Linked DNA regions of Pelodiscus sinensis. The protein of the gene in region 1 binds, or shares a complex with, the protein of each later gene. Links are inferred from orthologs where the notes say so. Each region holds a gene or a part of one and is shown on either strand. Other genes may lie near its edges.

Region 1 (15,321 bases):
GATTAAATAATCAAGCCCCAACAAATGATTTAAGGTCATAAACCCTGAATCTTGTTCTCAGTAAAATCAAGAACAAATGCTTATCTGGTTGTAACAAAAGTAAAGCATTTCTCATCTTGTTACCCTTTAAATCAAGAGGCTGTGCCTCTAATTGGACAGGATGAGCCTAATTTTACTCTGAAGATAGCGATTTGCTGGACCAGTTTCAATTTGAAGCAGCTGGTATTTAATATTGCCTGGATCTTACTTTAGTACCAATTGTATTTACTGTGATGGTTCCCAAGAGATACTCAGGGGTGGGAGGCACCTCATCACTATCCACTGTTAGCATGAAGTAATCTTGTCTTTGCCTGACATGGATCACCTCCTGAAGTCAACAGCCTCTGGCAGCAACAGGCACACACAAATGCCTGAATACCTGGGAGTGTTTCCTGTAGCATCCATCCTCTGAATGTTACAAGATTACTAGTCTCCAAGTAACACTGCACACCAGCTCATAAGATTTGATTTAGAATCACCACTTTGCTTAACACTAAGACTAACTTTGTTTCCAATACAGGCAGTCCCTGAGTTACACGGATCTTACTTGTTGGATCAGCAGTTACAAACGGGGCTTCTCTCGCCCCGGAGGACTGGAGTAGCAGGACACCTAGATGCGCCGTTATCCCGCCGCCCGTGTCCTACGGGGTGAGAAAAGCTGCTCCGCATCTTCCTGGTCTGCTTGGGGGGAGGGGGGGGCGCCCAGCAGACCAGGGAGAGGCGGAGGACCGGGGCGGCGGGACCGTGGCACGTCTCGGTCCCGCTGCCTGCGACTCCCTGGTCTGCTGGGGGGGGGGTGGCGCAGCTAGTGTCCCCCCCCCCCCCAGCAGACCAGGCTTTTCTCGGGACCCCTGTGGTAGAGCAGCTGGGGCGCTGCCAGTTGGTCCCACAGCGCTGCTTTTGGTGCTACTGGACCAACCCGGCAGCACCCCAGTTGCTCTGCCCCAGGCGTCCTGATTCAGCCACTGCTGAAACTGTCCAGCAGCTGACTACAGGAAACCCGGGGCAGAGCAACTCTGCCTCGGGCTTCCTGTAGTCAGCCGCTGGTGAGTTTCAGCAGCGGTTGAATCTGGACACCAGTTCCGACTTCCATACAGATTCAACTTATGAACAAATCTACAGTCCCTATCTTGTACGTAACCCGGGGACTGCCTGTACTCAGTCACTTTACTATAGTATCAGATATAGCTAGAGAAATTAATGAACAAAACTACATGCTTTCCAAAGAGTAAGGAAGTTAGTAGCCTTTAAAGGCTACTTTTTTCAACCAAACCCACTGGATACCCCTTTTAAATGAAGTGAAGGCTCTCTTTCTCAATGAAGGGTCCCTACTTGAGTATCCCTTCTGTCCCCTCAAATATACTCAAGCAAACCTTTGATATGCACCTCAAAGAGGTTGTCTTCCCTGTTATGCATTTCTCTTCCTGTTTTTTCCCCTTACAATCCTTCACTTGTTTTCAGTTCAGAGGAATGCTAGGGGACTCAATTCATACATGAACACATCTCATTCACAGTATCTCATGTCCACTAGATAAAACTGCTCTTCAGGCTGATATGGCTAATTGCTTGGTTAGCAGGAACAGCTGTTTGCAAACATTTTGGTGGTGCCCAGACTGAATGGGAGAGAAGTGAGGCCTCTGGACCAACTCCCCAAATCCCACCCCATGACTCACCTGAAGGCTTTGAAAGGGAGTTTGGGTGGGGTAGTGGTGTGGACTCTGGTGGGTTGATACAACAAGAGTGCAGGCTCTGGCAGAGAATGGGTGCACCACATTTAATGGGACACCCCTTCTGGCAGTTCAGGGGTGGGGGAGAGCCTTCTCACACACATGCAGGCAGCAGTCCTGATGGAACCTAGCACCAAGCCACGAACATCCCTGGTGCTGGAGAACCACACGGCCCATATAACTCGCCATCTGTTTTTAGGCAAGTACTCAAAGTCTGGTCTCATCATGTGTGCCAATTTATTTTCCAGGAATTACACTCAGTCTCAAATCAAAAAAGGAAGAAAGAATATTCAGACTGTGCAACTGAACTTCCATTTTGGCACCTCAAGTGAGTGGCTGGGGAGTTATTGCCACTTTCCATTTTAGGAAGGAGTCAAAACCAAGGATTGCAGTAGAATCCAGAAGCATTTGAGGCCTGCTCATCAACCCACGATGGATTTAAACTCTAAATACTGGAGGGGAAACCAAGTCTGAGCAAATTAAAAATATTTGCAGAAGTTCAAAATAGGCAATTTACATATTGCTTATTTTTGTAACAAAAGCTTAAAGAATCACTCATCCTTCTGATCGGTTCCCTGTGTACTAGAGCTTACCTCTGTTTTCTCTGAGAAGCAGACAAACTATCCTCTTTCCTTTTCCCCTTGAGGGTCTCCTGGTTTTTCTTCAAATTTTTCTGGCGGGCAAGTTCACGCTGATTCCCACCTACACAATATCCAAGTTTATATATGTGTTGCAATTGCCATTCCTTACCTCCACTCTAAGATTGTATACTGACAGAGTAACATAGTACTTCAAGACAAAACTCAGTAAAAATCATTATTAAAACCACTCTTCGAGGTTTCTCTCTCCAAGTTTAGATTCACAAGACAAATTCTGCAAAGCAAAACAGCAACACTTCTATGAAGCAAGGAAGTGCTAGAGCTTCCCAAATTTAACAAAGAGAATTTATATTTTCCCCTGTAGAAACACCCAAGGCTATGTCTAGACTGCCATGGTTTTCCAGAAATGCTTTTAATGGAAAAGTTTTCCATTAAAAGCATTTTTGGAAAAGAGCGTCTAGATTGGCATGGACGCTTTTCTGCAAAAAGTGCTTTTTGTGGAAAAGCATCCATGCCAATCTAGACGCTTTTCCGCAAAAAAACCCCGATCGCCATTTTCGCAATTGGGGCTTTTTTGCGGAAAACAAATGAGCTGTCTACACTGGCCCTTTCGTGCAAAAGTTTTGCGCAAAAGGACTTTTGCCTGAACAGGAGCAGCATAGTATTCCGCAAGAAGCACTGATTTTCCAGTAGGAAGTCAGTGCTTTTGCAGAAATTCAAGCTGCCAGTGTAGACAGCTGGCAAGTTTTTCTGGAAAAGTGGCTGATTTTCCGGAAAAACTGGCCAGTCTAGACACAGCCCTAAATGTTTTGTAAAAGTGTTCTTAGGCACTTCAGCTTCAGGCAGACTTGTGGCATGGAAGAGTTCTGCAATATATAAAGCAGTTCACGCTAAGTTAGAAGTAAGTTTGGAAAGTTTAGATTTTTCTCTCTCAATAAGTGTTGATTTCACTATGAAGGGACAAAAGTATGAAAATAATCCAAGTTTAGTTTAGTCCAATTATTAAAGTTTTACACATACCAGGCCAAACCTGTAAGTTCGTTACACACTGAACATTAGGGGTATATCTACATAGTAGTGTTATTTCAGAACTGATGTTATGCCACAAGACCAGTCCTCACCCACACTACAAGCAGTTGTTTCGACATAATATTGAGCTGGAGAAATTCTTACTCTGACTCCTGTAGCCTTCATTTTACAAGGAGCAAGAGAAGTTGGAGAAAGACTGCTCTCAGACTTCCTGCTATGTAGACAGCACCAAAAGCTGAAAGCTACTTCAACTTTAGTAGCTCAAGTGGTTTAGCTTATTTTGGCTTCAGTCCTGCTGTACAGATGTGCCCTATGATTGCTCAGTATAGCAGAAAAGTCTCCAGAACCACTGTGCCTTTTCAATGGCTATTTTAGGACAGTCAACAAGCAGTATACTCATGCCCATCTACATTTATAAGTACTTTTGAATTGGAGGAGATGGTACAGTACACATCCTCCATGCCTGTTTCTGGCTTCAAATTGTGCCCACTACACCACATCTCTTCATAAAGAGATTGAGAGCACCATTTAACTGGCCATAAGCCTACACAGCTTCCTTTTAAGGCTGGAGGGCATTTGTGAGAAAGTTTGCTCTTAACCCAGTTCTCTCAGAAGCTTGAATTACTACAGTGAATCCAAGCTACAGGTTTAGAAAGGGAGCTGAATATAACATCTCCCAAATTGAAATTCAAAACAGACAACTTCAAGGACAAGGACATTGTCTCAGTGACCTGATTACCTACATCCTACTTCAAAGGCCTTTTAAGACTACACTTGAAAGAATCCTCTGAACTGTCATTCATGCTTAAATTTGACACTTTACACCTAAGTTTGAATAAAGATGCTAATTATCTTACCCATTACAAAGATAGCTTCCCCAATTATCACCTCTAATATCATTAGCTCACAGACATTTACCTCCCCCTCCCTCATCCCCTTTCTGTTCTGAAATTTGATTTGTCCTTTTCATAGGTGTTCTTTTGTAATTGTATCCTTTGGTATATATGGTTGACAATTTTCTTCCACTATTTGATCTGAGGAAGAGGGTCTGGCCCACGAAAGCTCATCACCTAATAAACCATCTTGTTTAAAGTGCTACATAGTCCTGTGTTTTGTTTCAGCTACACCAGACTAACACAAGCTACATTTCTATCAACTTAAATGAAGTCACTGATAATTACTACTATAATGTGTACTCCAGTTTTCCATTAATACAGTCAAATGGCACTCCAACACCTAATTCTGAGCAATATGGCTTCCGGCAACACCTTCTAGTTGTGGCACAATTTATGTTTTCGTTTGCTTTTTCGCCAATTATTTTGCTTAATTAATGAAGACACCATCTGACAGGGATTAATTAAGCAGGGTTGCTACTAGATAGTTAGTAGCCATTTAAGGACATTCCTAGCCTGACAGCCAGCAATTAAACTTGAGTTACTAGCTTGACTGACCAGTGGCTCTCACACAGCCCTGCAAAGTCCACCCAGGAGAAAACACTGCTTTGCTCTAAACTGCCCACACCTGTCAGACTGACTTCAGGGACAGCATTGAGTGTGGGGACCCCTGTCTTCTGTAAGCTGTGCGCTTCAGAAATGTAAATGCTACCAGGCTGATTGGAGCTAGGCTTGGTTGCTAGTGGCGGTGCACGGTCACACACTTCAGGGCACATAGAAGTTGTTTTGCACATGAAGGAATAAGAATCCACAGGTGGGTGGACGAGATTTGTGGGCCCAGGCTGGGGACCCCCGTCGGGACAGGCCCCACCTTCACAGCCACTGAGGTCTCCCTCCAGGAACACTCATCTTACAGAAAGGAACAAGCGGAGTCACCAGGGAGCCAGGTCACAGTGCGACAGCCAGCGGGCCCAAGTCCGGCCCGCCGCGTTCACCCGCGCCGGTACCGTGGAGATCAAAGGGAGGCCGCCACCCCGCGGGCCCGGCCGCTCCTGCCGCTGGAGGGTGGACGGGCCCGCTATGGCGCCGAAGAAGCCTGCAGGGCTTAGCGGGGAGAAGAGGCGCCTCGTGACGGGCCCGCCCCAGAGCCGGTGGGCCCCGCTCTCACAGCCATCCGCGGGGCCGGCAGGCCGATACTTACGGGCCATCTCGAGGCAAGATCCCGGCCACGGCGCACGGAAAAGAACCTCAACCACTTCACCCAGGCACTGCGACTGCCAGAACCTTCTTCCGCCGCCCCCTCAGCACCTTATATAGGGAAACGTCTCTAGGCGTCACAAATATGCAGACGTCACCATACCGCCTCCTCATCCCCAAGCTTTAGATAGGAGCCACCGAGCGGTGGGAGAGTCGCCAACAATGCGCATGCGCAACCAGCTGTGTGTACAGCCTGCTGCTGCTTTGAGAGGCTAGGCTGGGCTTCAGTGAGTCTGTTGTGCTGCGGTTGTGGACATGCGCATTCAAACGATAGTCAGGGTGTGTCCGAGTCTCCTTCTTGTGGTTTCGAACGTTTTCCTCCGAATTCCGGAAGATTTTTTAAATGGTTTTTAAATCTCGGCTTGACAAAGCCCTGGCAGGGATGATTTAGTTGGGATTGGTCCTGCTTTGGACACAGAATTAGACTCATGCATACCTCCCCAGCAACACAGAAACATCCCAGTCCCTGTTCAGATAACAAGGGCAAATGTATTATAAGGAGAACATACAAACTTATCTGTTTACATCATAGTATCATATTGACTTCTTTTTCATTATGGCTATTTTTCACTCTATTTTAAAATCTGAACAATTTTTCAAAACATTTTTTAAACTAACTTGGGCAGTTTTCCTCTGTTCCATTTTTTTCTTTTCTTTTTACAGAGTTTAGAACATAACCATACTGGGTCAGACCAAAGGTCCATCTAGCCCAGGATCCTGTCTGCTTCTGCTGACAGTGGCCAATACCAGATGCCCCAGAGAAACAGAGGCTAGGGATACCATTCCTACCCATCCTGGCTAATAGCCATTTATGGACCTAACCTTCATGAATCTATCTAGCTCTTTTTTGAACCTCATTAAAGGTCTAGCCTTCACCGCATCCTCTGGCAAGGAGTTCCACAGGCTGACTGTGCGCTAAGTGAACAAAAACTTCTTTTTGTTTGTTTTAAACCTGCTGCCTATTAATTTCATTTGGTGACCCCTAGTTCTTTTATTGTGGGAATAAGTAACTTTTTCTTACTAACTTTTTCCATATCAGTCATGATTTTATAGATCTCTATCACATCCCCACTTAGGGTATGTCTACACTGCCACCGTAGTTTGAACAAGGGTGGCTAATGTAGGCATTCAAACTTGCAAATGAAGCCTGGGATTTAAATATCCCGGGCTTTATTTGCAAGTTCCCGGGTGCCGCCATTTTTAAATGCCCCGTAGTTCGAACTCCCTGCCCGCGGCTACACGCGGCACGGACTAGGTAGTTTGAATTAAAGCTCCTAATTGTAACTACCGTTACTTCTGCAATGAGGAGTATAATGAGAATAATTTCCTATTAACGCATGGCTCAAACAACATCCTAGGGTTTTATTTACAAAAAGCAGCAAGGAAAGAATTAGTGAGGAAATGCTTGCTTAAACTACTATTTACTTGTATAGAAGTAGTTATACCACAGGACACAAGGCCTGCATCTACACTTGGTTGTTGAAATGGACAGGCTCAAGTTAGAAACTTGGTGCTGGAATTCTCTACAAATATCTTCATGAGCTAGAGGATGAGATTTCCCAGTGAGCCAACTCACAGTTTACCTCATAGAACCAAACTCTAAACAAGCCACTGTTATTGTAGTTCTCTCTGTTAGAATTTATTATTTTAATTACGCAGCTCAGCTTTCCTTGCCATATTTCACTTCATAAGAAGGCACCATTTGGTTGCCGCTAAGGGTGGCTCACAAGAAACAGGAGCAGAAAAAAATTCTGATAAGTTACTTTACTAAGAATAAGAATTGGTTAATAAATCTGTGACATTCTCAAATATATTTACTTACAAGCTGCTTTATACCAGAAAAAAAAAAAACCCCGCAAGCACATTGTTTTGAGTGCCCAGAGCAGCCAGTAAGGAGTAAATGATGGGGAGGGGGGGGGGGGGAATGGCTCGGCTGGTCACTCCTACTGGGCTTAGGGTTAGTTCCATCTGGACTGGTAGGGGGGACAGACGGGAGACTCTCGTCCCCTGTAAAGAGCAGCTGGAGCAGGATCACCTCCAGAAATGTCCCTTGGCTGAAGGAAGCTGTGCGCCGTCTCCTTCCTGGCCCCATAGCTCCTCAGCCATGGAACGAGCTTCTCCCTCATCTACCGAACCCCTGTGCATCTGCCTCCCCCGCATACCCACTGGGATGCGAACAGGTAACCCGTTAACCTGTGCTTTATAACTCGCGATACGCAGCGCTAGCTTGTCCCTTTCGGCGCTCCGTCCTACTAGCTGTGTTCGCCACCTCCGCTGGTTACGGAAGGGGGGGAGGACGTTGTACTTGCTCGGGCTTTTGACGCGTCACGTGGCCGCGTGGTTGCCCCTTTGCCGGTCGCAGGATGATGACATTTGGATGCGCCAGGCTCTGTGCAGGGCGGGGTGCGGGAGGCTCTGCCCGGTGTGCGGCAAGGGAGATGAAGCGGCGGCGCCGGCGGAGCGAGACGTTCGGCTCTAGCGCTTTCCTGGCCGCGCGGGAGTGACCCTCGGGCTGTCACGGGCCGCGCCGAGCGCTCCTCTCCCCCCTCCCCGAGCGAGGGAACGGGGGCAGCCGGCACCATGTTCCGCCGAGCCCGGCTCAGCGTGAAGCCGAATGTGAGGCCGGGGGGCAGGGGCGGCGGCGGCCCGAGCGCCCCGTCGGCCCCGGAGCCGCAGCGCGGCCAGGATTCCGCGTCCCCGCCGGCGAGGACAGAGCCGCCGTCTAGCGCGACAGCCTCTCCCGAAGCCGCTGCCGCTCCTCGGCCGGACCCCCCGCCCCAGCCGGAGGGGGAGCAGCCCGCGGGCAGGTAAGTCCCGCAGCTCGCGCAGTCGCGCTGTGTAAGGGGGAGCCGGGAGGGCGCTGCTTGGAAATCTCACTCACTCCTATCGGCTCCCCGTGCCTGGAAAGCTCTGGGAGCTGCCTCTTTACCATCATGGGCAAGAGCCTACGTGCCCCAGCTCTCCACATTGTGCTTCACACCGCAGCTCCAGTGCTTGGAAGCTGTCAAGTGCCCAACACTTCTTCCGCGTTTGTCTCCCTTTATTGCAGGAGACCTTTTTCTTGTCTGAAGGTGGTTCCCTCATTGGCTTGGGTTTGTTGTGTTTGAAGTTGAGAAATGTATATTACTGCAGGATGAGAGGGCACTATTGGCTATGTCTAAGATTATGAAGAATGCAACGAATACCAGCTCTTGGTTTAGAAATAAATGTCTATAGCAGTGGTTCCCAATCTTTTTGATATTGGAGATCAGTAAACCCATTCACAAGCTTTTGGAGGACCAGTAACATTTATTTGCATATTTATTAAGCAAATGATGAATATGCAAATAAATTGTGTTGCTGGCCCTACTTGTCTGGAGGGTTGTTCCGCCTCTCCCCCCCGCCTCCTGGCCCCAATCCTGGCTGCTTTATCAGCCGGTGCTGGCTCCCCCAGCTGCGTCCAGTGCCGGGCATTCTGCATCACTGTACACAGCACCCGGCGGGTTGTTCCACACCCCCCTCGACCCAAATCCCGGCCGCTTTATTGGCCAGCGCTGTCTGGTGCTGGGCGTTCTGCATTGGTGTGCACAGCACCCAGCCTTTTCTCTGTGCCCTAGTGCCCGCCAGATCTAGCCCCACCACTCGGGAGCATGCCTGGCAGAGACGCCGCAGTGGCAGGCTCTCTCCCAAGAGGGCCACGCTGCTGCGCTCAGCTGCGCGGAGTGCTGTTACCCCATCACACAAATTAATAGGATCGTGCGCGATAATTTTTCTAAGGACTGGTATTCGTTTTTTAATAGGACCAGTATTCCTTTTCTAACAGTAGGACCAGTACTGGGCCGCAGACCACACTTTGGGAAATGTTAGTCTATAGGTATCTTTTGTACATATATATTATTACTTTATATCATAGTCTCCAATCTTGCAATGATAAACATCGTGTAGAAGAGCCTGAAGTAAACTGATACCTGCCTAGGTTCAGGGGTTCTCTTAGGTGGAAAACAATGCTGGATTGGGCCGCAACTTTAATATTTATGGTTGAAATTAGTACTTTGGAGTTTAGTGTTGATTTCCCAAGGGCTGAATAATTTTCTTTTTTATAAGTACAAACCTATTTCTATTAGTATATCAGTAGCCCCTAGGAAGTTATCATATCTGCTTTTCTATCACACCTTACAAACATAGAGCACTAGAAACTGTAACGATGATTAAATCTGTGACTAGATATTGCTTTTGATTTGCATGGTTCCCATTGAAATCAATGGTGGAGGTCATCAGCATACAGTGTAAGAAAAGTATACTGCTTCTAGTCGTGTAACACTGAAATTTGAGGTAGGGAGGTTAAATTTAAATTAATGGGCTAATCGAATAGTTGATGCAATTTGTGTCAGGCTCCATGCAGTGTTTCAAAGCAGTAGTGCTGACCTTGGGCTCCATGCAGCACTGCTGCTTTGAAATGCCAAATGCAGCCCGGGGCCAGCTGAAGACCTGGGCTACACACAGTCTTTCAAAGTGGCAGGCTCTGGGCTCCATGTGGCATTGCTGCTTTGAAGCACCCTTTTTCTGATAGAGGCAGCAAGGAGGGGTGGGGGAAAGAAACTAGTCGACTACTTGTTCATATCCCTAATTTGAGGAGGGGCATTAATAAACAGCAGAAAACAGTTTTATGTACCACAATTTTGGTGGCTGTTTATGAATTAGGATGAACAACGCTTTCTTGGATTTACACCTAGAGTTAAAGAAACAGTCTCGATTAAAATCACTTAGTACTTTGTCCATTTTAAAGTGTCTAAATGACTTTAGCTCAGAGTTTGAAAAATATACCTGACATTTTATGGAATTGTTTTTTATTCAGACTTGACATTCCTGATACTTTGAAAGTTAAAAATACAACCAGGGACAAACCTTCCAGGCCTCCTTTATAGATCATTCAGAAACACAAAAAGTGCACAAGTCTTAATAAAAAAAAAAATCTTTTCATTCACCACTGTTGTATAGGGATGTCAATGTGTAGATGACTACACAATTAACCAATAAGCCTGGGCTTATCAATTAATCCCGTTGACTACATGCATTTCGCCTCCCCGCATATCAGAGGCAGCAAGGTTGGGGGAGGCAGGAGCTGGTGCCTGTGAGGAGTCAGCTTTTAAGATGGCTCCCCACGAGTACCAGATTCTGTTGAGCTGCCTGCCACCCCCCATCCCTGCACTGCTGCCTCTGATAAAGGCTGCTGCTGCCCCATGCTGCTGTCTCTGGTACGGAAGCACAGGGTGGCAGGCAGGAACTTGTCTGTGCAGGGGATCATTTTTTAAACCATATCCTCTCGAAAGAAGCTCCTGCCTGCCAACCTGTGCTGCTTGCAGTGACAGGGGACTTTGTGGGTGTGGAGTCGGAGTACACTGACTCCAGCCCTGTCCCCAGGGACTATCGAATAGTCATGTAGCTATTTAATGTGATTACAGCACTATTCAATTACACACTATCTAATGTCCCTGCTGCTGTATCTTGACCAAGCAATGATCAGCAGTTGAGGCACTGGACTGGTCTGCAGAGTTAGGAAGATAACAGTGCTTTGGTTTGCACTTTGGTTTGTGTTGGGAATACTGTCTTTGCAACTTGAAGTGTTGAAAAATATAGTTTCATTTTAAATAAAAGTTTAAAATCGTACTCACCTAGGAAAGGCTGCTGACTATACTTGGTATAGATAGACAGTGAAACTTGAGTGATTTCTTGTCAGTTTCACTCAGGGTTTTAAGCATTTACATAGTGATATATTTGGGTTGCAAATACTGCAGAGGAATTTGATTAAATTAAGACTTTTTCCTGACATCTAAAATTGTAAAAACAGTTGTTACATCTGATTTTATTAAACACTTTTATACAATTTCAATTTTGGGCATTAACTATTCTCCAGTATTTTATTACACTTATAGATCACCAGGTATGGTGAGACTGAAGGTAAAGAGCATTTCATAAAAAAACGAGTCTGACTACTTAAATGTTAATCACAACTGCTATGAACTTAATACTGTTTTGAGGACTCTTATTTTTGGAAGATTGAATATTTTCTTAATGTACAAGGCAGCATTCAATGTGTTTTGGTTTGGTTAAATATGGGTTCTTGGGTAAGGTTCTCAAATAGTAATATTTTTTCTTTAGTACTGTATTTAGGCTTTAGATGTACTCCACTCAATGCCATCTTAAAAGTAGCAAAACTATGATTGTAAGGATTAGAGTAAAATATGTTTTAATTTTCTACAGAGATGAAAAGACTGGTGGTGCAAATGATGACGAAGTTAAAAAACCTGCAGATACACCCTTACAGAGAAGAAAACGAATATCCACTATGCCTAATCTGGCAAAACCCAGAGTTACACTTCCATCTGCACAACGTTCAGTATCAAAGTCTTCTCAAAAACAAATACCTCAGTCTTCTGTTAATGGTAACTCTTCACTTCAGAAGGAATCAGAAAAGACCAATGCAGAATGCTCTCCAAAGTCTCCCATGTTGCCTGAAAAGAAAACACCTGTCCCACAAGTGCCACAATTTTCTCCACTTAAAAAATCAGTGAGCCGAGAGCCAAATGTGAGTGTAAGTGCTCTAAAAAATGATGAAGTTCTCCAGAAGAACTCACTGTGCCCTCTCAAGGAGAGACCCTCCCAAGGGAGACCCACACAGGGGGAAATGCCACATACAAAACCACCTCTAACAAAAAATAAACAAAAGTGCTCAGACCGTGAAAGAATCCTCAAAGCTCAGAAGTTAAGAGAGATGCTCAAAGAAGAGCTGAAGAAAGAGAAGATGGTAAGGTCCTGCTTTTGGCACTTGGGGCAGATCAGAAACGGAAAAGGGGATCAACATTTGCCAGGTCCCTGTGGGTCAATTCCAGTATGTTCTGCTATTTTAAAGCGACTGTGATGTCAGCAGCATTGTACTGGCAACCTGTGCAGGGTGTAGTAGCTCTTATACTATCACAAGGAGTGAGTGTTCTTTGGTATAAAATTGATAATTTTTTTTAAGATGGTGATGGGGCGGTTCTATTAGTGGACCTTCATCTGAAGACCCCAGCTAACATGTCAGTCAGAATGCTGATTTGTTTTTACTATATACTTTTATAATTAGTAATCACAGCAGATGGGATGAGGACTTGGCTTTTTTGTTATGTAGTCAACTTCGTTGACTCAGTTCTGTTACCTTGGACAGCTCACTTCACTTCTATTGTTCTATTAGCTCAACTGTAAAATGGTGAATGTTGGTTATTTTTTGAGGATGTTAACATTTAATAACTATTCAACCTCATGAGAGTCTAATGAAAACAGAGTAGAGCAGCACAATGTAAGATTTGTATGTTTCAATAAAGAAGACAAATATAAGAAGGGGACAAAAGGCAGCAGTTTTCCTTTAGGTGGCTAAATCAACTTGAAAATTAATTTTTAAAAAAATGGTTTCATATACTATAACAAGTCCTTATTCTCACTGCCAACAACAATAATTGAAAAAAGCCACACACAATAGCAGGTCAGGAGCATTCATAGTTATCTAAAAGTGCTTTTAACTATTTTTTAACTAACAGTTCATTTTTAGAAGTTGAATCTATCATTTATATGAGAACTCAGCAGCTGCAATCCTGTGGAAATACAGGCAGTCCCCGGGTTACGTACAAGATAGAGACCGTAGGTTTGTTCTTAAGTTGAATTTGTATGTAAGTCGGAACTGGCGTCCAGATTCAGCCACTGTTGAAACTGACCAGCAGCAGCTGAATCGGACACGCCTGGGGCAGAGCAGCTGGGGTGCTGCTGGGTTGGTCCTGCAGCGCCACTCCTCGGCGCTACTGGACCAACCCAGCAGCACCCCAGCTGCTCTGCCCCAGGTGCTCCCAAGTCAGCCACTGCTGGTCAGTTTCAACAGCAGCTGACTTAGGGACGCCTGGGGCAGAGCAGCTGGGGTGCTGCTGGGTTGGTCCAGTAGTGCCACAGCTCGGCGCTGTGGGACCAACCCGGCAGCCCCCCAGCTGCTCTACCCCAGGCGTCGGCGAGAAAAGCCTGGTCTGCTGGGGGGGAGGGGGCGCACTAGCTGCGCCCTCCCCAGCAGACCAGGGAGACGCGGAGCGACTTTTCTCACCGCGGAGGATGCGGGCGGCGGGATTGCGGCGCATCTCGGCGGTCCCGCCGCCCGCGTACTCTGCGGTGAGAAAAGTCACTCCGCATCTCCCTGGTCTACTGGGGGGGCGCTAGCTCTGCGTCTCCCTGGTCTGCTGGGGGGAAGCGCTCCCCGCGCCGCCAGAGGCGGCGACAGTGGGGGAGGCACCCCGCACTAGCTGTGCCCCCCCCGTTCGTAATTAGGAGTCCGACTTAAGTCGAACTGACGTAACCCGGGGACTGCCTGTATGTGTTTTATTTTGAATTAGGCAAAGGTAAAACACTATCTGAAGAGCCTTAGGCTTCTTGATTTAGCACAACTCAGTTGTTCTAGTCTCTGACACTAGTGTCTTGGATTCTGGATCTACACATTGAAACCCACTCAGAGCATAACATCTCTTGAGAAACCAAGTCAAGTGAGGTTGATGGTGTCTTTGAGAAAGGGATGCTGTAAATAAGTTACACAATTTGTTTTCTCTAACATGATTGTAAGTAAAGAAAAATCTAAATAAATGTGTATTTGGTATGCAGAAAAGATGGCAAAATAGACCTACAATAATTGAAGGAAAAACTCCACCAGATCCTTCCAAAATGACAATGAGAGACTTAATATACTACCTGCCAGAAAACAATCCTATGAAGTAAGTACAGTTCTTTTAAAGGTAAATTATTTTTGTCTGTGTGTACTCATTTAATCCTATGTGAAAAGTACTATACAGCTAGTCTTGAATACTGAAGTCATGTTTATCTGTAGAACAGATAAAAGCCTGAGTAGTGGCAGGATAAGCTTGTGAATACTGTATCGCTATTACTTTGTATTTGTATTGTAGTCGGGAGTAGGGTCTTGAGTTAAGTTCTGTACAAACAAATGGAGACATGGTTCATGGTCCATACCCTGAAGTATTTCAATGTAAACAGACATGTAATAAGTGAAGAATGGGATGATAAAAATGAAATATACATGAACTTATGTTTGAATTTTCCTTAATTTTAGGATGAAAGTTTCCTTTCAATGTAGCCATCATAAATTGGCTGATTTTAATAGGCATCATGGCAGAGATAGTGAGATTGAGAGGGGAGTGATAATATGTATCAGTTTGGACTATTGGTGTTCCATGCATGTATTGTAAGACTTTTGTCACAGTGATTTTTAGTAAAAGTCATGCACAGGTCACAGGCAATAAACAATATTTCACAGGAGTCCAGACCTAGGAATTTTACTAAAAATAACAGAGGGAAGCAAGCTGGAGGAGGAGGAAAGGAATGACACCTGGATCCCCATGAGCTAACTAACCACCATGGGGGAGGGAATACCTCTCGCTACAGACCCTGGTGAAACCATGGGATTGGGGGACACAAGGGTGGCTCTGGCTTCTGTTAAAGCCATGGCGCTGAGCGCATGGAATGGTGGGGGGGCGCACAGCTCCAGCTCTGGCCACAGGGTTTGTAGGGTGGTACATGGCCTCTGCTTAACTCCCACCAATGACAACTGAAACAGAAAACATTGAGGTCCAGTAACATCACAATCTGTGAGCTTCATGACTAAATTGTATCCTTAACCATGTGTAGTGTGGAACAAGGCACAGAAATAATGTCACAGCTCTGAGAATATAATCCCTCCCTGGAAGGACCATTCCTAGGAGTAATAGGGTAGTACAA
Region 2 (15,542 bases), on another chromosome or scaffold:
CAGCACGTGGGTTTGCCTTTCCAGAGGCGTTCTGACCACAGGTCAGCTGAGAGGCACAGTTCCCAGAACACATTTCGCCCTCACTCCAGTAGTCAGCAGGCAGACCCGGGACCTTAGTCTTGCTCCCCCAACTTGGCTGCTTTTGTCCCGCTTGAAATCAAAAGGAGAGTTAGAAGAGTGGGACACGCTGGCCAGGAAGCCAAGCCCAGCTCCGCTACAGCCTCCCCTTGTTGGCTAGAGGCCAGTCACCACCTCTCTGCACCTGTACAAGTGGGCAACCCTGCTCACCTACCTCCTGGGGGCCGGAGGGTTAGCTATGGACTGAGGTGCCCGAAGGCACGCAGGGGGCTAGCATTCAGCCACAAGCCACGTCAACGTCCATGCCGTGTCTCAGATGTGGGGTGGGGAGCTGCAGGAGTTAATGGATTATAAAGCACTTAAAGATTTCGCTCTATTTCTTCCTCCCTTCCGAAGGCCACAACTCGCTGAAATACCCGGGGGGCTTGTACTGCCGCCTTGTTAGACTTTCCCATGATTAAAATTACTTTCTTAAACATGCGTTGTACTTAACGCAACGGGGATCCGACGCTGAGGCCGCAGCCTGCACTCTCGCTGACGCTGACCTTGCTGTACGCTTGCTGCACTGTGACAGTATTATCGAAACGCTTTGCATTACACTTACCTTGTCTGTTTACACTACAAGCAAATGACATATCAACAGAGCTTCTTGCAATATACTGGGGGAGGGAGCAGGGGGGAAAGTACCAAAGAAAATGTGTTTAAAAGGGGGGGGGGGGGGGTTGCATTTTTTTATATAAACAGAATTTTCTAGCAGATTTGTTTTGTTTTAATATATTAAAGATTTGCAAATCTACCGCGAAGTGAGGTTGCTTGTCTTTCGGCCCGACACCACAGAGCCCTCAGCACAGCCAAGTCATTGCTTTTCTTTAATGTGACCGTACAGTCGTTCCGAGAAAGGGTTCACATTCCCGCAGCCACATAAGCAACGGAACGGCCACGGTCAGAGGGGAACACTAGCTGCCTGCCAGTGGCAGCAGGGTCGACTCCCTTATCCAACCCACGCTAGGGGCTCCGAGACCCCGACCACGGGGGGCCTCTCAGGAACGGGGCTTGTGTTGCACAGCAAGGGAACCAGGCAGCGCTTTGGAAAAACCGTCACAGCCAAGGAGAGTGGCAGCTCTGTTCCGTCACAACCACCACAGGGGGCTAGCCGGGGCTGCTCTGGGCCAGTGTTACTCCTCCCCGCCACAGGCTGATGCAGAGCCCCAGTCTTAGCCGAGGAGAATTCATCCAGAGCTTGGGTGGCACGGAGCCGTCCTGAGCTACGCACTGGCTGACCCATGCAGGGATCTGCCTCATGCAAATGACTCTGGGAAAGGCAAAGCAATCAGCCCCAGCCGCAGCCGCAGCCCTTTTGCCAAACTGGAAGTGTCCCACCCGGAGACAACCGCAAGGAATCCGAATGCTTCTACGGACAGGCAAGCTAGACCCACTTACCCAGGCTCCGGCCGCCTTGGCTGAGCGCACAGACGCAGACTCAGGCGTAAAGGCAGCACCGGGCGATGCTGGAGACCATCTGGCTTTCAACACAGGAACTCACTGTGAATTGGTAAGAGCAAGTCCCACCGGCGCGTCTGGCAGCCAGGATGGCTATTTCTAACCCGGAACCGGTTCCCTGTGCAAGTCCTGCTCACGAAGCCATTCGGGTGGCTTGTTTCTGCCCCAGCAGAACGAGGAGACGCTGCCATTTAACGACAACGCCTCCCCCCAGCACAGCCGATTTCTCCCATGAGAAGAGTGTCAGCCAGCAGAGACAGCTGGGCTGCGCTTGGGGGGAGGGTCAGTTCAGTGCCGGGCCTGGGCCTTGCGGAACTCCCGCATCTCCTCCTGGCTCCGCAGGTACTGCTCTATTTCGCTGTCTGAAATGGCCTCATCCCCAGTGATTGCCTGCTCCGCAGGACTCGGGGCTGCTGTGCGAAGTCTCTTCCTGGGGTTGAGAAGGCACGGTGGGAGCAAAGGCCTCTGGCCAGTGCTGCTCTTCTGCTTGCCCCCCGGGGGGCAGCCCTCCGCTTGGCCAGCGCACCCTGCCACACGCGGGGAACTCTCAGAGCCCTGGCCCGCTGCGGTGGCACTGGAAGCCTCAGCGTCTCCCGAGCTAAAGGAGCTTTTCACCAGGAAGTGCCGGTGCTGGAGCAGGTCCCCGATGTGCTTGACCACAGTCTTTTTGTCCACCTGGAGCACACGCAGCCAGGCCAGCTGGGAGGCCATTCTCAGCAGGATGTCGTTCAGCTCCTTCAGCCTCAGGTGGGCCGGCGGTGGGAGGTCGGTGCCTGCCAGCTTGCAGAAGCGAGGGAAGGGGCAGCTGAGGCGCCCCGCGGGCTGCAGCGACTGCCACGCCAGGTAGGCAGCAGCCGTGACGATGGGAATGGGATGCCGGCCGGTCACCAGCCAGGTCTCGCTGGCCAGCTCCACAATCTGGATTGTCCGGGCAACCATCTTGTCCTTGTCCTCGGCAAATCTGGCAGGGATGCTGGCTGAACTCTGGAACAGCTTGAAACTGAGAGAGCAAAGAGAGACCGTTAGCTATCATGCGGCACTGGGGACTGGCGAGCAGGAAGCCGTCAGATCAGTAAGTCCATCTGCTGCAAGGGGAGGGGTGATGTCCGGAATGACCAGGAGCCTACCAAACACACTGTCCATTTTACCCAAAGAAACACCTTAACACCCCCCAGGGGTCACATTACCTGTTGAGGTGCGTTTTCACCAGATCCATCAGACTCAGGGCTGGCACGTCCAGTTCCAGCTCTTTCAGGACAGCTAGGTAGACGCTGGCAAACAGCTCCTTGTCTGCGTAGAGCAGGGAGCAGATCGTGCCCATGGTCAGGGGCCAGTTGTGCTGCCGGCAGGTCACAAAGACACAGCAGCCCACCAGAATCTCCTTCTTCTCCAAGCGGACCAAGTGGAAGGAGGGGTGCTTAATTGCTCGCTGGAAATAGGACAGGGCTGTGTCTTCAAACACCGCCGGGAGACGCAGGACTTTGCAGAGATCCTGGACACGCTTGATCCCTGTGGGAAAGCACCAGGCTACGTTTTAACATTCGTAGGGAGGCGGTTGACCGATGGGCTGCAGCTCCCTGCCTACGGCCATGCTCATGGCCCAACCAGAGGCCATGCTGGTCGTCCGGAGCAGCCTCTGTCCACGGGGAGCCTGGACACCCCACAGGCAGAGGCTGTCTGGTTGGGCGCTAGCAGCATCTGATTGCAGTGGGAGATGAGGGCTGCTACACCCCAGCTTAACAGGCAGTGGGGCTGGAGCAGCCCCCACCCATGTCCTCGTTAATCGGTGAACTGGTTTAACCGGTTAGCCAATTAAACAGGATTTTAAACATTTGCACAAAACGTTTCTTGGAACGCGCCTCCCCATGGTACCACAGCACTCAGCCAAAGCCAGGCGGGAGCAGCACGGCAGTGGGGCAACTTCATTCTGATACTTTGCACCCGGCAACGTTAGCCCATTTCTCTTCATGCAGCAGGGGAAGTTTTCCCAATGGTCCCCCCAGGGCTCAGAACTAGCTGCGTGTGAAAAGACAGAGGCTCCCTGTGGCTTTCAGGAAGAGGAAGAGGAAGAGGAGGAGATGGCGCAGTCTGAGACGTGTCTCTTCTGAGCCAGCCAGCGGCTCAGTGCGGCAAGAAAGGAACAGTCAAAAAAAGCTCTCACCTCGTTGCGTACAGCGGCTCAGCTGCTCATTCTGCCCAGTGCTCCGTGAATACGTCACTTCTGGAAAACAAGAAGCACCAGGCAAGGCAGTCATTTCCAGCATAGAGAGGAGGGCGAGAGCTAGGATTGGGGCAGTTGCAGGCACCAGATTTCAATTTCCAAAGCTGGTAATTCTCTTTATGCTCACAGCATAGGCACCACAGATGACAACAGTGGAGACTCTCTCAAGCTTGCCCCAGGCCTTCTGCCTCAATCCTGAACTAAAAGACAGACTCTCTAGGGTGAACTGTGTTCAGTCTTCATGGTTGGAGTCTTTGATTCTCTGTAACTTGCCAGCAAAGGGCGCTGCTGCCAGTTTACAATATAAATAGATCTACTGCAGTGACTACAGAAATTCTTTCATAAATGAGCTTGAGGCCTGCTACACTGTAGCTCTTCGAGATCTTCTGCCACAACTCATGTGGATCATTGATTCCTCACCTCGGGGAAAGGAGAGCTACACATAGTACATATCTGATCCAGTTAATCTATATAGCATAAACACAATCCTCCTCACAATCAACCCTGCTTTAAGGGAGTCAACAATGAAATCTGCAAATAAAGTTTATGAAACAAAAGAGAGCAAGATGATACTGATGATAGCCACTTGCCTTTAAGCAACATGGGTATTTGTGTCAGAATAATTTTGCTTTAAAATGTACATTTGTAAACGATAATCTTGTACAAAATCTTTACAGCCCAATAGAAATGCTTCCAGGACATATTTAAAGATTCCTAGTAAACCTGTTTTAAACAGAGGATGTTGTGAGGATCGGGACTTTAACAGGGTTCAAAAAAGATCTAGATAAAGTCATGGAAGATCGGCCCATCAATACTTATTAGTCATGAGGGACAGGAATGGTGTCCTTAGCCTCTGCCAGAGGCTGGGGATGGGTGACAGGGAAGGATCACTTGATCATTCCCAGTTCTGTTCACTCCCTCTGGGGCACCGGGCACTGGCCACTGTCAGATGACAGGACACTGGGCTGGATGCACCTTTGGTCTGACCCCATCGGGCCGTTCTTATGTAAGAAAAATCTGCAGTTGATGTAATACAAACATCACAGTATTCACTGCAGCATGAGTGTCAGAAAATGAAACTGATCGGTGTATTTTCATTTTCAGCTAAACAAACCCATAGTATCCAGGATTCTATTTGCAACAAAAGGCAAGAACGTTTGTTTTTTAATGAATGATTTTTTAACCTGCTTGTGTCTCATACGACTCAAGGGCAGGTTTCATGGCTGCTATGTCAGGATTATTTTCCTTCGAAAGGTGATGGAGTGAGTCCATTTTCAAAAAAGTCACAATTTTATATTTTGGCATTTTCACACAAACAGGAGCAGAATGTTACAGCAGACAGCCAAAGCAATGTCCCTGTAGGCTGGGGAAGCACAAGTTAAAACCAGGACTAGAGACGCAAGAGAAGCTTGCAGGAGCTCCCCTAAGCAGGACTAGTGCAGGGATGGCAAGATACAGCTCGTGGGCTGAATCCGGCTCACCAAGCCTTTTGATCTGGCCCACAGGTCACTGAGACCCCAAGGCAGGCTCTAGCTTGCTCAAAACGGTTGGCGGCTCCCTTAAGGCATGCCCAATGGAGGGGGGCGGGGAGAAGAGGAGAGGGGGGACTTTTTACGCTGCCAATGAGAGCTGTGATGATTGGCCTGGAGGAAGGGGCACTGCACAAAGTGTCCCCCCCACCATACACAGGGGCTGTGGCTACACTGGCAAGTTACTCCGGAAAATCAGCCACTTTTCCGGAAAAACTTACCAGCAGTCTACACTGGCCACTTGAATTTCCGGAAAAGCACTGACGATCTAATGTAAAATCATCAGTGCTTTTCCGGAAAAACTATGCTGCTCCCGTTTGGGCAAAAGTCTTTTTCCGGAAAACTGTTCCAGAAAAGGGCCAGTGTAGACAGCACAGTACTGTTTTCCGCAAAAAAGCCCCAATCGCGAAAATGACGATCGGGGCTTTTTTGTGGAAAAGCGTGTCTAGATTGGTCACGGACGCTTTTCCGGGAAAAGTACTTTTCCGGAAAAGCATCCTGCCAATCTAGACGCACTTTACCAAAAATGCTTTTAACGGAAAACTTTTCCGTTAAAAACATTTCCGGAAAATCATGCTAGTGCAGACCTAGCCCAGGAGCACGAAGCACAGGGCGTCACATGGAGGAAGCCTCCAGTTGTTTTGAGTAGCCTGGGGCTGCAGCAGGCAGGGAGCCTGTCTTCAGGCCCCTGTTGGGCTGCTGGCTGGGAGCTGCCTAAGGTAAGCACAGTCCAGGGAGCCTACCTTTGGCACCCCATTCCCTGCTGATCCCCAATCCTGTGTCCCATATCACCACCCAAACCCTCTGCATCCCTCCTCCCCCAGGTCACAACTCCCTCCAAAACCCTGCACCATCCTCCTACACGCCTCCCCCCAAGTCAAAATCTACTCCTGCACCCCCACCCCTCCTGGGCTCTGCATGCCAAATCCCTACCCCAACTCACAACCTCCTCCTTCACTTAAACTCCCTCTCAGACCCCACCCTCCAATCCGGAGTTTCCTTCTGCACCCAACCTCCATCCCAGATCCCACACCCCTCCACAGAAAAGCATGGCCCTTGACTATTTACCTAAATCATGGAATGCCCCCCCATCAAAAATTACTGCCCACCCCAAGACTAGTTGTCTGTAATACAGCTGGGGGAAAGGGAGTCAAATTTGCAATCTTGCTGATTTGGGGTAAGAATCATGGGTTAAGAGTCATCTGTCCAGGACTGCTGTTCTTGTTGCCTTGTAAAGTTTAAAGCAGTAGTTTCTCTCCTACTCTTTTTTCTGCACACCGTTTTTAGGGCAAAAAAGACTTTTGATTAAAATAATACCCATTACTCAGAGCTGTAGGTTTGGAGTTTTTTAAAATCTCTATCTCCACATCCTCACGACAACATAAATCCTGCAAATTCTGACATGCTTCTATAAACTAAAATGAATTTTCATTTGACCTTGTAAATGCTCTTCATCTTGGAAAGTGGTTGTCAAGAGCCCCTCGGTGAGAACAAACCCGCAGTCAGCGCACACCAGTTGGTTCTGAGCATAATGCGCATCGTCCACGATGTCAGAGGAGCCACAATCAGGGCATTTTCTCGGGCCCGACATCTTGAGAACCTGCAAATATGAATTGGGCCAGATACAAAACTCTTCCTTTGTACAAGCCCAGCCATTTCATTCAAACTTGTCATGTGGCTTCAAGTTTTCCATACAAATTGTTTTTTTAAAAAATCAGGTTTAAACTGCATCAGACCAAGCATAATATTTATAGGCCCGGTACAGATTTGTAACACAGGTCCCCTCCCACACATACTAGGGATGTGAACAGGTAACTGGTTAATTGGCACTGAGGAACAGCCCGTGCAGGGGTCAGGAGCTAGCAGCCTGCTCCCATCCCATCCCGCGCAGACAGGAGTGATCCTCCGCTGGGATTCCATGCTTAATCAGTTAACCAGTTAAATGTAGGCTACGTCTACACTGGCATGATCTTGCGCAAGAACTCTTTTGTGGAAGAGTTCTTGTGCAAAAACTTTTCCAGAAGAGAACGTCTACACTGGCACGTGCTTTTGCGCAAGAGCATCCTTGCCAGGGTAGACACTCTCTTGCGCAAGAAAGCTCCCATGGCCATTTTAACTGTAGGGCTTTCTTAAGTTTCTTGCGCATGTTGCCTGTCTGCACTGGCCTCTGGTGCAAGAACAGTTGCGCGAGAGGGATTATCCCCGAGCGGGAGCATCGGAGTTGTGGTGCAAGAAGCCCTGATTTCATACATTAGAACGTCAGTTTAATTGCGCAAGAACCCGCGGACCGTGTAGACGGGCGGCAAGTTTTGGCGCAAAAGCGGCCGGTTTGGCGCAAGGTGGCGCCAGTGCAGACACAGCCCGAGCGTTTAACGGATTAACCGGGATCCTCCCCCACCCAGGTACCAACCGGCGCCTGCCCCCGCCTTGGGCTCACCCGCCGCACCGGACCCGCCATTGGCTGCTGCCTGGGCCGAGCCCCCCCCCCCCCCCCCCCGCATCAGCAGGACCAGGAGGGGAGGAGCAGCCAGGCCCCATCTGCTGAGTACGGGGGGGGGGGGGGCCGTGCCCGTCTGCTCCCAGCCCCGCCCCTCGCCTCCCTGCTGCCCCCCCCCCGGGGTGACTGGAGCCTGGGGGGTCCCGGGGGGGGCATGTGGGGATTTAGCATTACAATGGGGGGGTACCACGGGCCCCCCCCGGCGCGTGCCCTGCCCCCCCTCCGTGCTCACCTCGCCCAGCGGAAGTCGAGCGGGCGCACGGCGCGCGGGGGGGGGCTCTAGAGCGCTGCACCTGCCCGCGGGGAGAGCCCGGCCGCCGCCGTCACTTCCGGTCCGTCGCGCCGCGGCGTCCGAGCGGAGGCCGCTCCCCCGCCACCCGCGTTCCGCCCGCCAGCGCGCCGCGCGGGCCCCAGGGGGCGCTGCAGGGAAGCGGCCGGCGGCGGTGCCAGTGCCCCCCCCCCCTCCTCCTCCTCCGCGGCAGTGACCGCAGCTGCAATGCAGCCACCTCTGGGGGGCAGCGCCCGGCCCCTGCTCGGGGCTTTGCCTGGGGCGCCCCCCCGGACCGGGCTAGCCCAGGGATGGGCAGAGAGGGGGAAGCGACTCTAAAAATACCTTTCCCCTGATTTCCCCCCATCCCAGCTTTTCCTTTGTGACCCACGGTCCCCTGCAGCTTCTGGCTCCTGGAAGGCAAACCTCTTAGAGGTAGCCGCAGGGGGTAGCCAGTGAGCTGCACAGAAAACAGCAGTGGGGCTGGGAGCGCTTTCTAGACGCACAGACCATGTTACTCTATGAAGTGCTACCGGACCGTGTGTTGTTTTTTTCCGTAACAGACTAACTCGGGTCATCTGAAGAAGTGGGCGGTGCCCACGCACGCTCATGACACCATCTGCATGTTTTGTTAGTCTATAAAGTGCTACCGGACTATTGGTTGTCGTTTTCCTGTAACAGACTAACTCGGCTACCCCCTGGAGCTCCAACACATGGAGATGGTATCATGAGCGGCTGTGCCCATGAAAGCTCATACCGCCTCTTACAAGTAGTTGACATTTAATTACCCCTTCCGTGGCACCCGTCAATACAGGCAAACTAGGCCGTCGCCTAGGACACCAAGATAAATGGCCGTTGAAGGGTTTGGGGGGGGGGGACGGACACCGACCGCACACCAATCGTGTGGTTCGCCTAGAGCGCCAGTTGCCAGCAGTTCATCTAGGGCAGCTCCTGTACCCTGTTAATCCTTTAGCAATTCCTGCAACCCCTCCCCCCCGGATACTTCTCTAATTTCAACAGTCTAGACACTATTCCCATCTTGAGAGGGCATGGGTTGGCTGTCTGCTACATGGAGGGTCGACCAGCAGATGGCACGCTCGCTTTGCATTTACAGCTGCCACACCTTAGGGAGCAACTGAACTGTGCTTGAGTCCGGGCATTAGCAGAATGGGAGACAGGGAACACACAAAGGGCCTGACTCAGGTCCCAGGCAGAGAACCCAAAAGCCATGACCTGGCTCATGCTGTAAGCCAGTGAAGGGCAACCAAGAACAGTGAGTGGGCTGCACGAACAGCCCTCCACCTCAGTGAGCGCCAGGACTAGTGGTGGTCAGCCTGTGAGCTGCGCACCCCCTCTCTGCCCCCTTCCTCTATGGGCCTCTTGCACACTAGGGCCCTGCACTTCTACTCCTTGCCCTCAGCACTTTTGGAGTGTCACAAATCCGCTGATTCGTGCTCCAACCCTGTTCCTCCCCGTCTCTCCTAGTAGGGTTGCCAGATAGTTTCACAAAAAATACTGAACATGGTGAGGAAAAAAATTGGTTGAGGGAAAAAAAGCAGGGGGGGGGGGGGGGGAACCAAAGTTGTTGAGCCAAATACTGGACACCTGGCAACCCTATCTCCTAGAGCAGGCATGTCCAAAGTCCGGCCCGCGGGCCAATTGCGGCCCGTGTTCCGATTTAATACGGCCCCCGCTTCCTCCCCCTCTCCTGGCGCTCTTTTGAACTGGCGCGCCCAGCGCGCCGCTTCCAGCCGCGCCGCCACCGCCGCCGCCCATGGCCTCCGCGGTCCTAAAGCCTGCCCTGTAGGGCACATCCGCAGCCCCGCTCCCCCACTCGGCTGCGGGTTCGCCCTGCCCCCGGGCTGCCGTGAGGCCGGCGTGCCCTGCGCTCTCCGCCCGCCTCCAACCCTGCGGGCCCTCCGCCTTGGGGCTGAGAGTGCGGGGACGGCCCTCACGCATGTTCACTTCTTCAAATCTGGCCCCCTTTGAAAAAAGTTTGGACACCCCTGTCCTAGAGCTTGAAGAGCCTTGCACAGTTGATTCAAGGCGTTCCTGCTCGAGCCGGAGCAGTGATGGAGTGCAAATCAGCAGTGATCTGACAGTAAAATAATATAGTGGCACATCAAGTACCCCCTGATCCTGCACCCCGTCTGCAGCAAGATGAGACTCTGCCAACCAGCCGTATAGAAAGGGTTTATTGCGCCTCCAGGATACAGCCCAGCATAGACGGGATGCTGTTTCAGGAGGCAGGACCAGGAGGCCTCACACCCCTTGGATTAGGAGGTCCATTATCATCACAAGACCCTCAGCTAAGGCTGCTTCCTTCATGTTTTGCAGCCAGCAACTGCCTTCCCCCGAAACCTGGTGTTGGTCTCCGCCTCTCTCCCTGTCTCTCTCCCCCTGGGAATCCCGTTATCTCCTCAAGCTGAGCCTAGGTGCCTGGGTTAACACACATGTGGGTGAGTCAGTGGGAATCACATATCACAGCACAGGGAGACCCCAGGGTTACAGAGCAGACAGCCCCCCACTACGCCACAGAGAATTCATGTGAAAGTAAAACCACAAACCCTGCTTCCCAGGATGTAGACAGCTCTGATTTACCTCCTCCAGCAAAGTCCAGGTGAAAGCAGCTGCTGCAAGAGAGTGGCCATTTGAGTAGCTTTCTTCCAAGTCACTACAATACCTCATTAGAGCTACACAAGGTTGAAATGCTTGAAAGTATCAGTTAATTTCTATTCAGTGCTGGCTTCGAGGTTTCCTAGTGCATTACTGCTGATGGCCCTGGCAGAAGAGAGAACCATTCAGTCTGACTGCAAGAGGACCTTAATAGCTAGTTTGATCCATGGCTTGAAGGAAACAATGCCTGGGAGTAGAGGTTGAGAGAAATATTAAGGAGGCTATTATGGTGGGATGCAAGTTCTCCTTACAAGGCAAATACATCGGGCCAAAGTGATCTGACTGAGACAAAGGAAAACTGATTGTTCTCCCACCTTGTTCTTGCTGCCCAGATACACTGACCAAAGAGTGAAGAGGATTTAAAGGTCAATGCAGTTAAAGTGCTCCTGAAGGACTGACACCCTTACGAAACTGGTTCTAATGGAATGCTTTGAGCAGTAACTCTCTAGCGCATAAATAGGCACAGTCTTCATATGCTGCTGAACTTGTTGTTCAGGCTTCCCAGCCCATGGTTCAGCAGCATAAGTCGACAGAGCCTATCTATGAGACAGAGAAATATCTGAAAGTTACTGCCCAAAGCACTGCATGACAACCAGTGTAGAAAGGGTGTTGACCATGGACTCAGTGCAGATAGTGACAGTTCCCATCCCTCTAGGGCAGGACTACTCGACATGCCGCCCCTGGGTTGCATACCGCCCGTTTATGGCCCACAGTGCAGTTTGGGTTTACATGGGGCTCAATCCACGGCCCGCAGGTGGGATCCATTGAACATGGCCTCCACTGGGAACATGCTCCACAACAGCGAGGCATTTCCCAGGAGGGGTGAGCATTTGAAAGATACAAGAGGACGGGCTGGCTGGAACTGACGGGTAACAGGGTGTCAGTGTTTCTAGCCCCAGGGAGGAGGTGTGGGGAGTGCCGGGGCATTGTGCGAAAAGCTATATATAGATAGATAGATATAGGCAACAACACTTACGTTGCAGCCCTCAGCATGTGCTGCATCACTGTGGCTCTTGGGGCTTCCAAAGTTGAGTATCCCCACTCTAAGGCAAAGCCAAAGTAGGAGAGGAACAGGCAGTAAGCAGTCTTTTCTACTCACTTTCTGCCTACCTGAAAAGCTCAATGTACCGGGAACCTATGAATCACAATGCACTACGTCTTTCAACTGTCCCCCTCCACCCTCGAATCAGGTATACAAATAATAAACAGGAAAATCATCAAGTTGCATTGTCCAGGTTGAACCTCTTTAGTCTGGCACTCTCAGGGCCAGACTGGTGCCAAACCAGAGAATTTGCCAAACCGCAGGAGGTCAGTATTGTCTAGCACAGTGGTGGCCAACCCATTCCAGATGAAGAGCCACAATAGCAGTGGAGATAGCATGAAGAACCAAGTTGTTGAGCGGGGGGGGGGGGGGGGGGGGGACGACACACACCGTACAGGCAGCAGGGAGAAAAGGCCCCAGTGGTGTGACAGACCCGGCATTTCAGGAAGCATGCCAGCTGTTTAGGGGAGAGGAAAAGAAGCATGCTCTAACCCAGTCCCCATCCCGTTCCCCAGAGCCAGGCCACCCCCCCCCGCTCTACCCTACACCCCCTCCCCTTCCCCAAAGCTAGGCACACCCTCCCCCCAACCCAATCCCCCTCTCCTCCCCTTCCTCAGGAGCTGCAATTTTTTTCTTCGCAAGCCTCGCCTCAGGTTGGCCGCCCCAGTCTAGCAGCATCACCAACATGGCCACTGCTTGCTGGGCTCTTACAAGACATTGAGGGGGTAAATTAGAGCTGAACAGCACAGAACATTGAGAGCCAGGACTGGTGGCTGTAAATTAACTTTATGGAACCGTAGGGAAACTTGGCCACACACATGGTAAGTGGACATCCAGCGAACTAAAATCATGCCAACCAGAGATGTTGCCAGACAAGAGAGCCTCAACTTGCAGTCAGTGTCTAGCTGGCTCAGAGGACAGGGTAATGGCTATACTTGTAGTTTGTGCATATCGAGCCCCAGTTACTATAACCTAACATTGTTTCTCTTGGCTTCTGTAGAGTTAGCATCCTGTGTAATTCCCAATAAAGAGACATACACATGAAAAACATCATGGCTAGACTTAGTTGGCAGAATCAATCACTGAAAATGCCTTGAAGATGTAACTGCCTTCTCAGCTCTAGAGTGGCGAACTGGGGCACAGGGCCAGAACAGAGCACAAGAAGTTTGCCCTGCCCCAGCTGCATTGCACTTGTTCCGAAGTGGATTTCTCTCTTGAACATCAGCCCAGCTTTTTTTACCAATTTAACTTACTTCAGCTGGAAAGGAAAGATAGTGTCCCATCACTATATCAAGCATCCTCTGCTGACAACTATCAAGTGCGGGTATTTTGCCAAGCAGAGACTCACTGTCTGAACACGCAGAAAATATGAACTGGCTGCCAAAATTTGAGGACCATATGTCTGTGAATCGGAATTGCCTGGAGATACTACATTACATTTTAAACATCTTCTTTTCGTAGCACACAAACAACATTTGTCTTTAATGGTAAGCCAGTTTCACCTCCTTGTTTTATCCTTTGACATTAAGTTACCTATATTCCCAGCTTCTCTCACTTCAGCCGTTGAGCCTTAACCATAGGAGGCTCGGGTACACTGTAAGCAATCATGTATGGCATAAAATGATTTCACCATGCAAGCTTTAGGAACTACTGAGATTATAGCTAATGCAATTTTCTCTATGATGGAAAAGATTTATTCCACTCTGCAGGGCCACTGCAGAACAGTTCACCAAACTATATGCATTAGCAATTTGTCCATTACATTGAGGTCTCTCCATTCTACCTTGTGCATTTTCTAGCACTTTCAGAATCCAGTGAAAAAACCAAGAGTGTTCAAACACTGAATTAAAAGTTTTTATTTTAGTGTTCCATAAAAGAGAATGTCAGTTTTAAAACCAAGAAGTACCCAAACTAACAAAGCAGAAAATATAAACATAAAAATACATTTGGATCTTTCAATATTAAACATTCAATAAGGAACTGTACAGGTGTTTGGGGGGAAAAAAGCTTTATAATCTTATGAGTATTCATATTAAATACCTTGGCTCAATAAAATGTCCAGTCTTTGTATACTAAAACCCTTCAAACAACATTGCCAATGAACATTTCAAGGTACAATAAGATTGTGCAACTTTTTCTACAGCTAATCAAGTAGCAGAATGGCCTGCAAAGGACCACTCTCTCTCCTGGCAGTGCCCAAATCTCATCAGTAAACGAGAGATACCAGATTGCAACCAAGAGATCAAGCCTCAGTGTGTAAGAGCAACCAAATAACCTTCTGGCCGACAGACTCCAAGCTACAACTGGTATAAAAGACCCCAATAAAATTCTATGGTCCCATTTTGGAAGCAGAACATCAGAACTGTAAGTGGAATGTTATCAGCAAATATTAAAACCATAGGGTTAAAGCTCTCTCAAGATAAGAATGTATTTGGTTAATGATAAACATCTTTGTGAAGTATTTTTCCCTAAAGCAGCAGGTGCAATATTACTAACAATGGCTGCAGCTGCTGGAGGTGTACCTTAATACCACAACAGGAGTACAACTGTTTAAAAAAAATCACTTCAGCTCATTGGATTAGTTCACATTAGTTTAGAATATAAAGCAAGTCCAACCACTATGATAACACCAGTTTCAAATTCAGAATGTTTAGCTACTGCTCAAAAGGCACCAAAGAATAGAGATCTCCACAGCTCTCATACAGTTGGCAAGCTATGGAATCAAGTCCTGAAGGCAGTTTTGTAAAGTGAGATACAGCTACAATTCAGTAGCATAGAGGCAATTGAAACTGATGTTTCTTCTTCCACACTATTTCAAGGCACAAGCAGCTGTCATTTTCAGTGGAAGATAGCTAGTTGCATGCATATTGTCTGGGATAGGGAAACTTACCCCTGACCTGAAGTCATCTGCTCAAACACTCATTACTACGACTAAGTACCCGAGGCCCTAAAAGGAACATTACAAACCTTAAATCTTTCATTCATAGTATTAAGAGTTATTTCATTTATGGTTTTCCTTGAAGGAACCTTGTATGATAGGGAAGTTAAGCCTTACTTATACAGAACTTTTATAATCACAAGTCAGTCTTTACAAATACACAGAACAGCATATATATTCATTCATACTGATTCCAGTAAACATACATTTCTTTTATTAAAATAAATTAGGTTTTACTACAAAATACAGCATCTGAGAAAAATGTACAGTAGTCTCCAGCATTTTGTGAAACTATTGAATGTTAGACTAATAAAAGTCTTAACAGGAAATTCAACTAGTCTCACCTGTCATTAAAGTGCTCTAATGTAAGGAATACTGTGAAACTGTGCCCTCCTAAACTATGGGTGAATCATCACTCAACTTTGGGGAAGACTTAATGGAACCTTTCACCTGGATGAAGGGTAGAGTTGTTGTTTTTATTGTTTCACAATACATGTTGGATCTTAAAACAGATTATCAAAAGTAATATTGTATCACTAACCCTCTCTGCCTTCAAGAAGCCAATTTGAGAGCTGTGACACAGATGTTAAAATTGAGCGCTTGCCACCAAAAAAAAAAAAAAAAAAAAAAGATTCAGTCCCAACATTAAGTGTGGATACAAATTAATGTTGAATACAAATCACAACTTTCCATCAAAGTGCTGAATTTTCCTGAAGATTCTTATCATCGCTATCCTAAAAGAATGATTTGGAGTAAGCCTTCTAAAATGATTGTTTATTGGTGTCTTGCTGTT

Evidence for each region.
Region 2: BDP1 (region 1) and BRF2 share a complex: the UniProt entries of both Homo sapiens proteins name them as parts of the TFIIIB complex. The link is inferred for Pelodiscus sinensis from reciprocal best matches to the Homo sapiens genes BDP1 and BRF2.

The regions. Positions count from the first base shown.
Region 1 is NC_134716.1:81,685,850-81,701,170, forward strand, and holds the start of BDP1 (transcription factor TFIIIB component B'' homolog), read left to right. Parts: upstream 1-7,893; 5' UTR 7,894-8,124; coding exon 8,125-8,351; intron 8,352-11,784; coding exon 11,785-12,328; intron 12,329-14,193; coding exon 14,194-14,303; intron 14,304-15,321. Other genes in the region: SERF1B (small EDRK-rich factor 1), read right to left, coding at 2,360-2,468, 5,489-5,495. UniProt on the Homo sapiens protein: General activator of RNA polymerase III transcription. Requires for transcription from all three types of polymerase III promoters. Requires for transcription of genes with internal promoter elements and with promoter elements upstream of the initiation site.
Region 2 is NC_134738.1:15,023,499-15,039,040, forward strand, and holds BRF2 (transcription factor IIIB 50 kDa subunit), read right to left. Parts: upstream 7,793-15,542; 5' UTR 7,787-7,792; coding exon 7,766-7,786; intron 6,929-7,765; coding exon 6,766-6,928; intron 3,800-6,765; coding exon 3,740-3,799; intron 3,088-3,739; coding exon 2,766-3,087; intron 2,579-2,765; coding exon 1,867-2,578; 3' UTR 935-1,866; downstream 1-934. UniProt on the Homo sapiens protein: General activator of RNA polymerase III transcription. Factor exclusively required for RNA polymerase III transcription of genes with promoter elements upstream of the initiation sites.